Oryzias latipes: one gene and its partner. The protein of the gene in region 2 purifies or fractionates together with the protein of the main gene of each other region. This does not show direct contact. Links are inferred from orthologs where the notes say so. Each region holds a gene or a part of one and is shown on either strand. Other genes may lie near its edges.

The links. The genes of interacting proteins can lie anywhere in the genome.
Region 1: the proteins of kat2a (region 2) and taf10 purify together in Homo sapiens (affinity purification with mass spectrometry; 8 studies listed by BioGRID and IntAct, with this or other methods). This does not show direct contact. The link is inferred for Oryzias latipes from reciprocal best matches to the Homo sapiens genes KAT2A and TAF10.

What each region holds. Positions count from the first base shown.
Region 1 is NC_019865.2:7,761,623-7,767,466, forward strand, and holds taf10 (transcription initiation factor TFIID subunit 10), read left to right. Parts: upstream 1-2,136; 5' UTR 2,137-2,386; coding exon 2,387-2,519; intron 2,520-2,836; coding exon 2,837-2,994; intron 2,995-3,154; coding exon 3,155-3,219; intron 3,220-5,063; coding exon 5,064-5,178; intron 5,179-5,284; coding exon 5,285-5,374; 3' UTR 5,375-5,569; downstream 5,570-5,844. Other genes in the region: uncharacterized protein LOC101174996, read right to left, coding at 6-65, 165-238, 320-404, 1,180-1,272. UniProt on the Homo sapiens protein: The TFIID basal transcription factor complex plays a major role in the initiation of RNA polymerase II (Pol II)-dependent transcription.
Region 2 is NC_019866.2:6,156,562-6,162,344, reverse strand, and holds the start of kat2a (histone acetyltransferase KAT2A), read left to right. Parts: upstream 1-2,267; 5' UTR 2,268-2,301; coding exon 2,302-2,571; intron 2,572-2,813; coding exon 2,814-2,937; intron 2,938-4,866; coding exon 4,867-5,012; intron 5,013-5,783. UniProt on the Homo sapiens protein: Protein lysine acyltransferase that can act as a acetyltransferase, glutaryltransferase, succinyltransferase or malonyltransferase, depending on the context.

The DNA of each region.
Region 1 (5,844 bases), on a different chromosome or scaffold from region 2:
CTTACTGCCAATGGTTTCTCCAGAAGAATGTGGTATCCCTTTTTTGCAAAGGCCACAGCAGGATCCTTAGAAAGATTTAAAAAAAAAAAAAACACAGTTCTATTTATATTAAAAACACCGTTTATGTAGAAAAAAAATCATGTACGGGGTCTGTTTTTTTTTACCTTGTGAAGCCGATCTGGTGTGCAAATTAACACAGCATCTGCAAACTTCTCTCTATCAGCCACACTTTGCCAGTCTGTTAAAAACAGAATGCAGCTGAGAAGAAAGGCGTTATGGGCCACTGTATTCAGTTTTTTTTTATGCTATAAATTCATACCTTCAAAGACATTTTCATTCTCTATTTGATGTTGTTGTTGAAGATTGGTACGGGCAAACTTTCTTGGGTCAGCAACGGCAACAACCTGATATAGAAATTATTTTAAAATAAATGAAGGAAAAAAAAGTTACTCATAACCGGTTACAAGCACATTTTATATAAAAAGAGGGAATACAAGTCATGGACCCTGGGACATGCCATTGAAAAAAAAAAGACGTGTTTCCTGGACTGAATAATTTAGTATTTTGTGCGCACAAATGCTGCAGAGGTAGAGCAGTCGACATCTGATTGAAGGATCCTGCCCTGGGCACCCATGTATCGAAGTGCCTTGGGCAGGACACTAAATCCTGCACAATACCCCTAGTGGTTATAGTTTGGTGCCAGTGTCTGGCACACATTTAGTGTGTGAATGTGTGTATGCATGGGTGAATTGGACTGTGACTGCATAGTGCTTTGGGCTTTTTAGGAAGGTAGTAAAACTGTATATAAATATACATCATTTGGCAAAAATTAGGACTTTAATAACAATTTGTGCACACAAATGAACATTTTTGTCATCAATTCCCTCTACTAAAATAGAAAATTTGTGGGCAATTTGTCCCTACAAAATGCTAATTAAAATTATGTATATATATATATATATATATATATATATATATATATATATATATATATATATATATATAGTTTTTGCACACAAAATACTAAGTCATACCCTTTAATTTTTCTAATGCCAGGGATCCGAAAAAGTTCAATTAAAATTGTGTTTACAAAAAATGTATTTGGTTATGATGCTTTTATTTGTCATATGTGTCAAATGAGGCTCTAAAAACAGGGGAAGGAGGAGAAAGAGAGGATACCTTCATGCGTTCAGGATGGATTAATGCAAACTCGGAGTAACCCGCTCCCCGACAACCAGCTCCAATCACGATTGCTCGGACCGTGGCAGTCATTCTTTAAAACTCAGCTGAAGATCAAACATGGTAAACATTTGACTAGGAAGATCCACCGGTTACGAACAGCACAGTGTTTTCTATAGTAAAAGAAACGTATTAAAGATCAAACCATTATTAATCACTATCCTATTTTACAGACACAACAACACATAGGAGAAGGCGTATTTCCACATCATAATTTCCGGTAAGACCACATGATTCGCCACTTCACGAAAGGATGTTATGTCTACCTAATTTTTCCAGCACGACTATCAAAACCTGCTGGATCTTTTTTGTTTGCCTCCGCGCTTTGTCTAGACGAAACTGCAAAGTCATCGGAGGTCAATGAGTAAACATGTTCTTCACAAAGACGATAAAAGTCACACAACGCCTACTTCTTTGTAAATAGTTGCAGCCTCCACGCGCCAGTCAGGTCGCTGTCCATCTGCTGCGTTCAATGTCCCTCGTAAACAGCTACAATTTTCCTGTCATAAACGCGTTATGTTGTGAAAAAAAAAAAGAAAAAGATAAACGTTAGCAATGGTAAGGTCCTTAATATTCAAATCATCCTGCGTAAAAAGTACAGGTGCTTTGTTCATAACACATTGCCAGTTAAATCAGTTTAATATGTTACCTAAAATGTATCTTAACATGTATCTCACTATTTTTAAGGCTGCACTTTTTTTGTCACCGGTCGTGGTTATTAAATCTGACTTAATCTTCTAACTGTCGTTCAACTGTAAATATTTCTCAATCGTAAAACAGCTAAACTATGAACGTTTACAAACGCTGTTGAGGTTGCTGTTGTTGCATTATCAAATAATCTCAAACGCAACCCCAGCCGTTGGTTCATACGGCTTACGTCATCAAATCCTACGTATTGTCGCGGTCACATGACGTCAGCGGCTGTAGCACAGGCTAAGCTTTCACAGCAACGATAAAAAAACAACAACTGATAGTTTTCTGTAGTGTTTAGTGTTCTCGTAGTCAAAAAAAGTTTCTTAAATCAACAAAAGTACCTCTTTAAACGCCTGGCCGTGTTGCTATATAGCACCATATAGAAATTTTGATACAAATTTCCATACATCTGTCTGAGTTAGCTTTTTGAGGTTAGCGCTTAGCTAATATAAACATGAATGTAGACAACGTAAATCCGTCTGTTACAACAGGAGTTGTGTCTACGACGTCTTCAGCTTCAAGTAATTGCATTGCCAATGACAATGCAACAACCAACGTCAGCAGCATTCCTTCGGTCACAAACAATGGTAACGAAACATAATTTTGGTCAACAAGATCTGTGCTAACAATGTTGTGCTACGACGATGCCCCATCTGATGATCTGACATTTGTGGTTTTGCTAGTTAAGTCAATTTGATTCACATACTGATGCATTCCTGAGTCTTTTATGCATATTTGGAGGATTGTCCGACAAACGTTTTTCTTTATCTGTTAAGCATTTCTTACATTTCGTTCTGCTAAAAAAATAAAACTAAATTTTTTAGTTAAGCTCCGCCCCAAAAAGTGTTGTGTGTGTATATAAATATAAGTACATTTGATTTAAGTGATAATTACAACTTTGCAGCTGCAGCTTCAGCAGCCCCGGCAACTCCATCAGCAGACTCATCAGTCTCCAATGGAGTCTACGTTCCCGCTGGCATAACCAATGGGGATGTGAAACCTGCTGTCTCCACCACACCTCTGGCTGATTTCCTCATGCAGCTGGAGGATTACACTCCTACGGTAAATTTATCACCCTTACCTTTGAGTTAGTGATGGGGATGCCTTGGCTCAAACGAGATAACTGCTGTATTTTTGTTTACGTCGTACTGGCAGGGTAACTACATGTAAAAATATTTAGATTATTTAGTCTCTCTCGTGTATTTTTCCATTTCTTTTGCAGATTCCTGATGCAGTTACGGGATATTATCTGAACCGAGCTGGATTTGAGGCTTCTGACCCAAGAATGTAAGTGATTGAAACTAGAAATATGTCCATATTTTGTGTGATATCAATGCTTAAGTAGTGATCTGCTAAGTTGTAGCATGATTAATTCTAAAGATAATCAGATTTTTAATTTTGTGCAAAGCTAAAAAGAAATTACATACTAGCTGATCTGTGTTCAATAACAGTCATGTTTTCATGCCTGTATTAGTTATGCTTGGGGTTTAATGTGTTTGTCAACAGAGGAAGCAAAGGGATTTGGTTGGGTTTATTTGAATTGGAATTAATTGTAAAGTGCTTTGAGCTGCTCGAAGAACGATAAATACTTTTTAAAAATAAAGATTGAGTTGATTTGTTTATGAATTTATCTGGAATTCTGAGAGAAACAAATATACATCCTAAATATGCAGCTAAAAAACTAGATTTAAATGCATAGAGAGCTTGTGTAATGCTTAACTGTGTATGTGTTGCTTAAACATGCAGGTTCAATTATAGTATTACAATTACCCATAATTTCCGGATTATAAACCGCTACTTTTGTCACACGCTTTCAACCCTGATTCTTATTCAATGATGCTTCTAATTTATGCATTTTTTTCTTATTATTTTATTTTCATGCGTTTTTTTTTAACGGCCACTCGAGCAAAACGGGTGGAGGAGCGAGTCAGGGGGAATGTGGTATATGTTTTGAGGAAAGACGCAAGTTTTATGTAAATTCCTGCTTTGTGAATGAATAGCACGAACAGACCCTCATCATGGAAAATGCAAGACGAAATGCATATGACGCAGCTTTCAAGTTAAAAGCAATCGTTAAAAGCAGTGTGAAAAATACCATCACCAACGGGTTTGGAGAAGCCGGTCTGCTGCGTGACGGAGAGGACAGCGCAAACACAGGAGAGAATTTGCCTCAGGATGAGAGGGACAAACTGACAATGAAGGAGACACAGAGAGAGTGTGTAGCGAAGTCTATCTGATGCTATTCCAATCCGACACTGAGGAGGAAGACCTCAATGGTTTCAGAGCACAGGAGGCGTGTGCCTATAAGTTACTGCTGCTCTCAGTGACTTTCACCGGTAGTTTTTTTTTAACCAGCTCTGTTAGTGCTGTTACAACCATATTGCTGCCGTGTTCCTGCCGCGTCACAGGCACTGTTTGGAAAACAGCTGTGACGGTGTGGGATTTTTGATCACCGCAGTGATGAAGCAGCAGGAGTTGCTGTGTCGCGGTTTACCCCCCCCCCCCCCCCCCCAAAAAAAAAAAACAACAACAACAAAACAAACAAACAAACACAAAATCTCCCTGGCGGCCACGTCGCTAATGAATACCTACTACAACGCAGTATTCTTAATTAAAAAATAACACTAACTACTAACTATCTAACTAATAAACTCACTACATAGGTGTTGTAGAATGAGTATGTGTGTCAGCGCACTGTGTGTGTAAGAGGAAGGAGCCCGAACAGAGCAGGAGTGAGAGCCTCCCTCTTGCGCTGCACTAGCTCTCCCCTTCCTCCGCTGTACGCGCTCCTTCCTCTTTCTTACACACGCCGCTCGTGGTTTCAGCACATACACATCCTCATTCTACGACGCATGTTTCAATGTGGGCACATGCGGCTTATAGACTGGTGCGGCTTATGTATGTACGAAATGGTTTATCCTTTAAAAATGTAATGGGTGCCGCTTATAATCAGGTGCGCTCTATAGTCCGGAAATTACGGTACATATCCTTCACAGGTTGTTTTATTTCTTGTTGCTTAATTTTTTTTGTACAGTTTAATGTGAGGTTTAGTCATGCTCCACTCTATGGGTTCACAAATATTTCAACCCTATGTGAAGACTCACTTATAACTCTCTTTTGGATATTTGCAGAATCCGTTTGATCTCCCTTGCCTCTCAAAAGTTTATCTCTGACATTGCCAATGATGCCCTGCAGTACTGTAAAATGAAGGGAACAGCCTCTGGAAGCTCCAGAAATAAGACGAAGGTGAGTGGTGGTCAGTTTTTAATTTGTATTGTAATGATTTTTTCTAATCCATTCTTTTAGAAAATTCAGTTATTAAATATAACCTTTTTATTGATCATATTTATAGGACAAGAAGTACACATTGACGATGGAGGACCTGACTCCTGCCCTCTCTGAATATGGCGTAAATGTCAAAAAACCTTATTATTTTACATAAAACATTTTTATTTTTGGCTTTTGTTAGTAATAATCTAACTGTGGACGGTGCAACATTTCACCATCTTTACTGCTAAATGTTATTTGTGATGATGATGATCTGGTAGATTTGACAAATCCTTATGGTCACTGTCATTTTTGTGGAGCTTTTTTTTCTTTTTTTAAGCAATAAACTTTTGTTTTATTGTGAAAAAAACACAGGTTCTCCGTGTAATGTGTTACATTAAGTTTTCACTATATTTTTGTAAAAATGTCACAGATTCTCATTAAATTCTAGAAATATTTAAAGTGTTTTTGCCCGACATGGATAGGCAATTGTCATTCAACTGGGTTTTGAGAAATTTTGTGCTTTATCAGAAATTTAAAAGCATTTAAAATTCTGTGGCCATAAATTTGTATAAGTCTTCATTTATCTTCAAACATCTTTGAGTTAGAAAATAGACAATAGATTTGGCACATCGAGCTCACACA
Region 2 (5,783 bases):
AGCTGTCCGGCAATACCTCAGAGGTCAAACCAAAGCAGGGTCAGGCCAACAACCCCATCAGCACCAAGTTATTGTTTGGAAAATGAGTGGACTGGCCAGTACACTGCAGGACCTCATGGATGGCTCAAACCAACAGACCAACAAATCCATTTCTTTTGCTTTCTGAATTCGACCTGTGACCTCTGGACTCGCCCAATGATCTCGCCTCCAGTTGATGGACTCTTCATGTCTTCTTTGAGAGAAGAACAACGATCTCGTTCATGACTAATGGCACTTAATTGCGCCTTCTTTGTTCACTTTTCTGTTTGTATAGAGAGAAAAAAGGATACAACAAAAAAAGAATAAAACCAGGCTTGTAGGGCCCCTCTTATTTTATTGGTTTTCACTTTCCACATGCATCTGAAATGGTTCCATCCAGTCATTGGGTACAAATCAAGGTGCATGTTCTGTCCTGCTCCTGATTGGCTTCCCAAAAAAAGGATGAGGCTTTTACCAGAACTAAAGGGCTGGACAGATGATTTTCTTGATGGATCTCTGTAGATTGATTGATTCTTCTTCCACCAGTTCTATACTATTTGACACGGATGGATCTGTTTGATTTTAAAACCTTGACTTCAGAGGTTTTTCAATCACCTGGTTTCAAACCATATGGAGTACAAAGTACTTTAACATTTTCACCTGTTTGTAATTTTAGCATTAATGTTTTTTGAATCATCGGTGTAAAAATAAGAATTGTCCTCTTGACCAAAATCCCTATTGTATTGACACCATTGCTTTATTTGTAACAGATTCTTCAGGTTTATAATCAATATGTAGATCTTGACAAAACACCGTCCCAATCTGTACATGTTATGTCAGACAATTTGTGATTTTTTTCTTTTTTTTCCTTTTTTCTTTTTCTTTCTGGAGATCTCTGGTATTAAATGCACTGGTTTTGTCTCATCATCTTTATGAATTGAGATGTTCTCCAGCGTTCACCACATTTTTTTTGTTCTTAATTTTCACATCAGTGAGGCATCAGCTTTTAAACTTTTTTTGAGGGTGGTGGTGGAGGGGGGTCATCCATCCTAATATGGCATCAACCATGGAAAATAGCAGCCGTTGCATCTTGAAAGGGAGGGATTGTGGGAAAAACGATTCTACTTTCATGAATAAATGAGGGTAGACATCTTTTCATGTATGATTTTGTTGAAAATAGCTTAAAAATCTTTGAATTTAAAATGAAATTCAGAGGCTTGGAAATGTTTCTACTCATTTTTTCCACCCTAAAACCCTAAAACAATTTCACACATCTTTACAGGTTACCTGATAACCTGTCGGTTATTGCTTTGACATGAGGTATAGTACTTCCAGTGTCAAACATTTCATAATAGACTGGTTTCTTATACAATTTTGATAATCTTTACATGCATAAATCCACATTTTAAAACATTTTTTGTTTATAACTGTCTCACTTTACAGTTGTTGCTGTTAAAATATGTATTTTGTCTTAAAGTTGCACATTTAATGAGAGAAAAGCTGTTTCTTTGAGACATAAAGAAACAATATAGTTCCATAAATAATTGTGTTTAATTTTGAAAGTCTTCATTGAGGTATGCATAGTTGCAATACCTAAAACGGTCACTAGGTGGACCATAGCAGAGGTACTCCAGAAAAACAGCTTCTGCATTACAGTTAACTGGGTCTGTCCTTTTGTGTGTGTGTGCATATATATATATAATGTGGAATGGAAAAATTGATCAGAGTTTGGGAGTAAACATTTTGGTCACACTAGTTAACTAGTGAGCTTTACAAGAGCCTTACTAGTGGAGCTGTAGAAAATGTGTATGCAGCTAGTTAACCAGTTGACTTTTTAGATTGTCACTAACCAACCAGTAAGCACAAGTATTGCCCACTAGTAAACTAGTACATATTTCTAAACATTACTAGTTAACTAGTTCACATTTATGGCATTTCGTTTTAAATAATTGTACTTTTGGCATTACTAGTTGGGCTTAAAACAAGGATGCCGATTTCATTCTAGAACAGCTTGACATAGAGCCTAACATTTGTTACGTGTTGCTTTCATGTTTTTCCACTAGAGGACACTACACCGCTTTACTACAGTACTGGGAACCTGTACATTTAAAATTTCCAGAAATAGCCAAATGATCCTTTCAAATAGTAAATATTTTATTTTAGGTTTTTATTCACTCACGATTAAAACAATATGCTTTTAATGCTGTGTACATTTTTTATTTGAATTTTTAGCTTTTGGTGTTTGTAAAATCCAGCTTTCTGCCCGGAACCTGAAGGCACCAGATGAGATCAACGGCAACAGAGGAAGTCTCCAGCAGCAGCGTGGATATGTCGGACCCGGCAGCGCAGGCCTCACAACCCCGGCTTCCACAGACCCAGTCCGCTGGGTCAGCTGGGTCCGGTAATGCTGCAACAGGCTCCGGGTCGGGCAATAGCGACCCGGCTAGGCCAGGACTCAGCCAGCAACAGCGCGCTAGCCAGAAGAAAGCCCAAGTTCGAGCTTTCCCACGGGCGAAAAAGCTGGAGAAACTTGGCGTGTTCTCCGCATGCAAGGTAGCTAATGTAGCTAGCCAAAGTTCACAACAGAGCCGTCTTGAGATTTATTAGCGTTTATAAATATATGTTTAGAGCACAAAGTAGAAGTGGAGCAACGTCAACTAATTCCCCTCCATCGACTGTTGTAAAAATAATTTATATTCACAAATCTGTAGCCAAACCCATCAGCTAGCGTAATTGATCCGTTAGTCATTGCGGCCGCTGAATAGCCGTTCACTGTTTGTGCTTCGCGTCCTCAGGCCAATGACACATGCAAATGCAACGGATGGAAGAACCCAAACCCACCGTCAGCCACCCGTCTGGATCTGCAGCAGCAAGCAGCCAGCCTGAGCGAGCCCTGCCGCAGCTGTGGACATGCTCTGGGTACCAACTATTCAGCCTCCATTTAAACCACTGACTAAGAACAGGAGATCAGTACCGCTGAAGGGCTCATCACACTGTTTAATGCGTCTGAGGGACGACACTACAGATTCTGCACAAGATACACGGTTTGCCCTTTGCAAACATGCCCATCATTACTGTGATAGTCAGAAAATAAACTAGTTGTTCCTCCTCTGGCTTTGGGATTAATGGCAAAATTTGTGCAGAAACTGCGACTTTAAAGTCTCATTCCAATTATCTTTTGATGTAATTATGATAAGGCAGATTTTGCCTAAATCAAAAAACGTTTGGGTTTCTAGGACATCGTTTCTGAAGAGCCGTGTTCGTGCATTAGAAACCCACCTGAGTTTTGGGTGGAACTGTTGGCACGGACTGAGCCTGCTCGCATTTCCCATCATCCCTTTGTGTCCGCGCTCTCCTTACAGCAGCAATTACAAGCTTTCTCCAACGGCATGTTTTCGTCTGCTCCTGATTTACCACAATTTGAATGAAGAAATACTCAGAAACTCAGTTTAAATCTTAATTTCCTTTATCTATGTCCTCCATTACGAGAAAAAACGCTACAAGAAGATGTTAAAAACACCAAAAACAAGATTTTTACTGGAATTGGTTTTTAAGAATGAACATTGCGGTTAATATTGTGCGTCATGTTTACAGTCAGTATTATTCTGGTGCAATATTCATGCATGTATAGTTGTTTTTCCAAGTTTGAAGATAAAACGTATATATATATAGTGTAGTCTAGAGGTCTGCAACCTTTTAACACTTTTGGTGGATTTCTAACCAACAACAACCCAGTAGGAGCTACAAAGTCTTACTTTAGCCTTTTAAAAAATAAGACATTAGTTGGTATTTTTGTTATTGTTGCTGTTGTTCACTTTTCAACATAGCCCTTCAGGCGTCGCCACATTGAATCAACTTTCACGTTTTTACACCTGATGCCCGTCCTGACACAACCCTGTATTTTTATCTGGGCTGGGGACCGGCACAGGGGGACCCAAACTTGGGCCCCCTTGTTGGCTACATACTTAGACAGCAGCATATATATAATGTTGTTTTTATGCATAAACAAAGAGAAAATATCTGGGTTTGTTTTTAAGAAAAATGAGAAATGGTGTATAACTTTTGGCCGAGATTCATATGACTTCCTTTCAATAAAGGACACCTTAGACAAAGGATCCTCTCAAAGCAGCTAATGTTTTTATTGGTAGTGTAATGTCACACACTTTGTTTTACCATTGGGGGTCCATCTCAGCCAGAAAAGAGTAAATCGAACAAACTAAATTTAAATAAGAGCTAAATAAGTAACCCTTATTGTATATTTCAAACCACAAGGTACCGTACACTTAAAATCAATAAGAATTGTTTTAAAAGAATTAAAAAATCTGCTTTATAATCCAGTGCTTCTAAATTCTGGTTGTGCTTGGTGACCTCCGATTGATTTTCTGTGGTTATCGGCGCTCAACGTGTTTCAGTTTTTAGTTAATGTTTTAGTTTGACTTGTGTTACGTACTGTCTTTGGCCTGTTTGAAAAGAGTTTGAGGTTGTCTATTTTACTTTTCTTTAAGTTACTACTTAATTATTATTTTTTTACTATAAAGTTACTTTTTCAAATGAATTTTTTTTTACTTTAGCCAAAGAGCCACAATGAAGGGGAATAAGAGCCACATGTGGTGATGAGAATGTATTAGCTGCACACATCTTTTTAAAATACTTTTACAATGTTGCTCTAAGTTGAACTGTTTTTGAAAGAGAAGAATCTCTTTAAAAACTAGTACGTCAATTGTTCTGATAGCTCTTTTTTGCAGTATTTACAGATTTCTACGTTTCCCCAAACTTCAGTACAATTTTGAAAATATAAAGAGATCCCAGTAGAACATATGCATTGACTGTACGGTAATTGTTTTGCAGCGGAGCACGTGTCTCATCTGGAGAATGTGTCTGAGGAGGAGATCAACAGGCTGCTGGGCATGGTGGTTGACGTGGAGAACCTGTTCATGTCTGTGCACAAAGAGGAGGACACTGATACCAAACAAGTGTACTTTTACCTCTTCAAGGTAGCGTTATGGTTCTATGGGTTTTGGGGTGTTTTTTTTGAGCGTTTGGGTGGAAGTGGTGAGGGGCAAATTGATGTTTTATTCTCTAATCCAAGGGGGCCAAATATGGCCCAGCAAAGGTCGTCTTTTGGCCCACCAAGCCTGTAGAGGCCACGGAGTGTTCAGTTAAAACCCCTTAACCTCTTCTATTCATTCATGGAGCGACAACGGAAGTAGCAAACGGACAAGAGGCATTTTAAACAAATATGGGAGGAGGATTATTTTTCTCCAGAAATCTCTTCTCAGGCTGTTAGTCTTCTTTGTCAGCAGTCCGTGGCTGTACTTAAAGAGTACAATATACGCCGACCCTACGAGACTAAACACGCAGTTTTATCCAAACACAAAGGTGAGGCGCAAAAGACAAATTCTAGAGAGTTCCAATCTAAACTTTTGTCACAGCAAGCCACCCTCAAGATGCCCTCGGCAGCAGGGGACAGCGCCACGTTGGCTAGCTACGAAGGTTCGGCGTTAAATGCCGAGAGTGGGAGATCGAGAGAGATTCAAAGAAAAATGTTACTAACTTTTAAGTCTCACTAATGTGTGTTGCCTTGAAAAATACTAAATACAAATAAATAACCTAAACTATATTCTTTATTCTCTTCTTTTATTTCATGACTTGCAAAAAAGTCTTGAATTTGGCCCACGGACCGGGATCACATTTAGATTTACGCCCTTTTGGCCTTTGAGCAAAAAAGTTTGGTCTCCCCTGCTCTAATCCCTGCGCACTGCTTT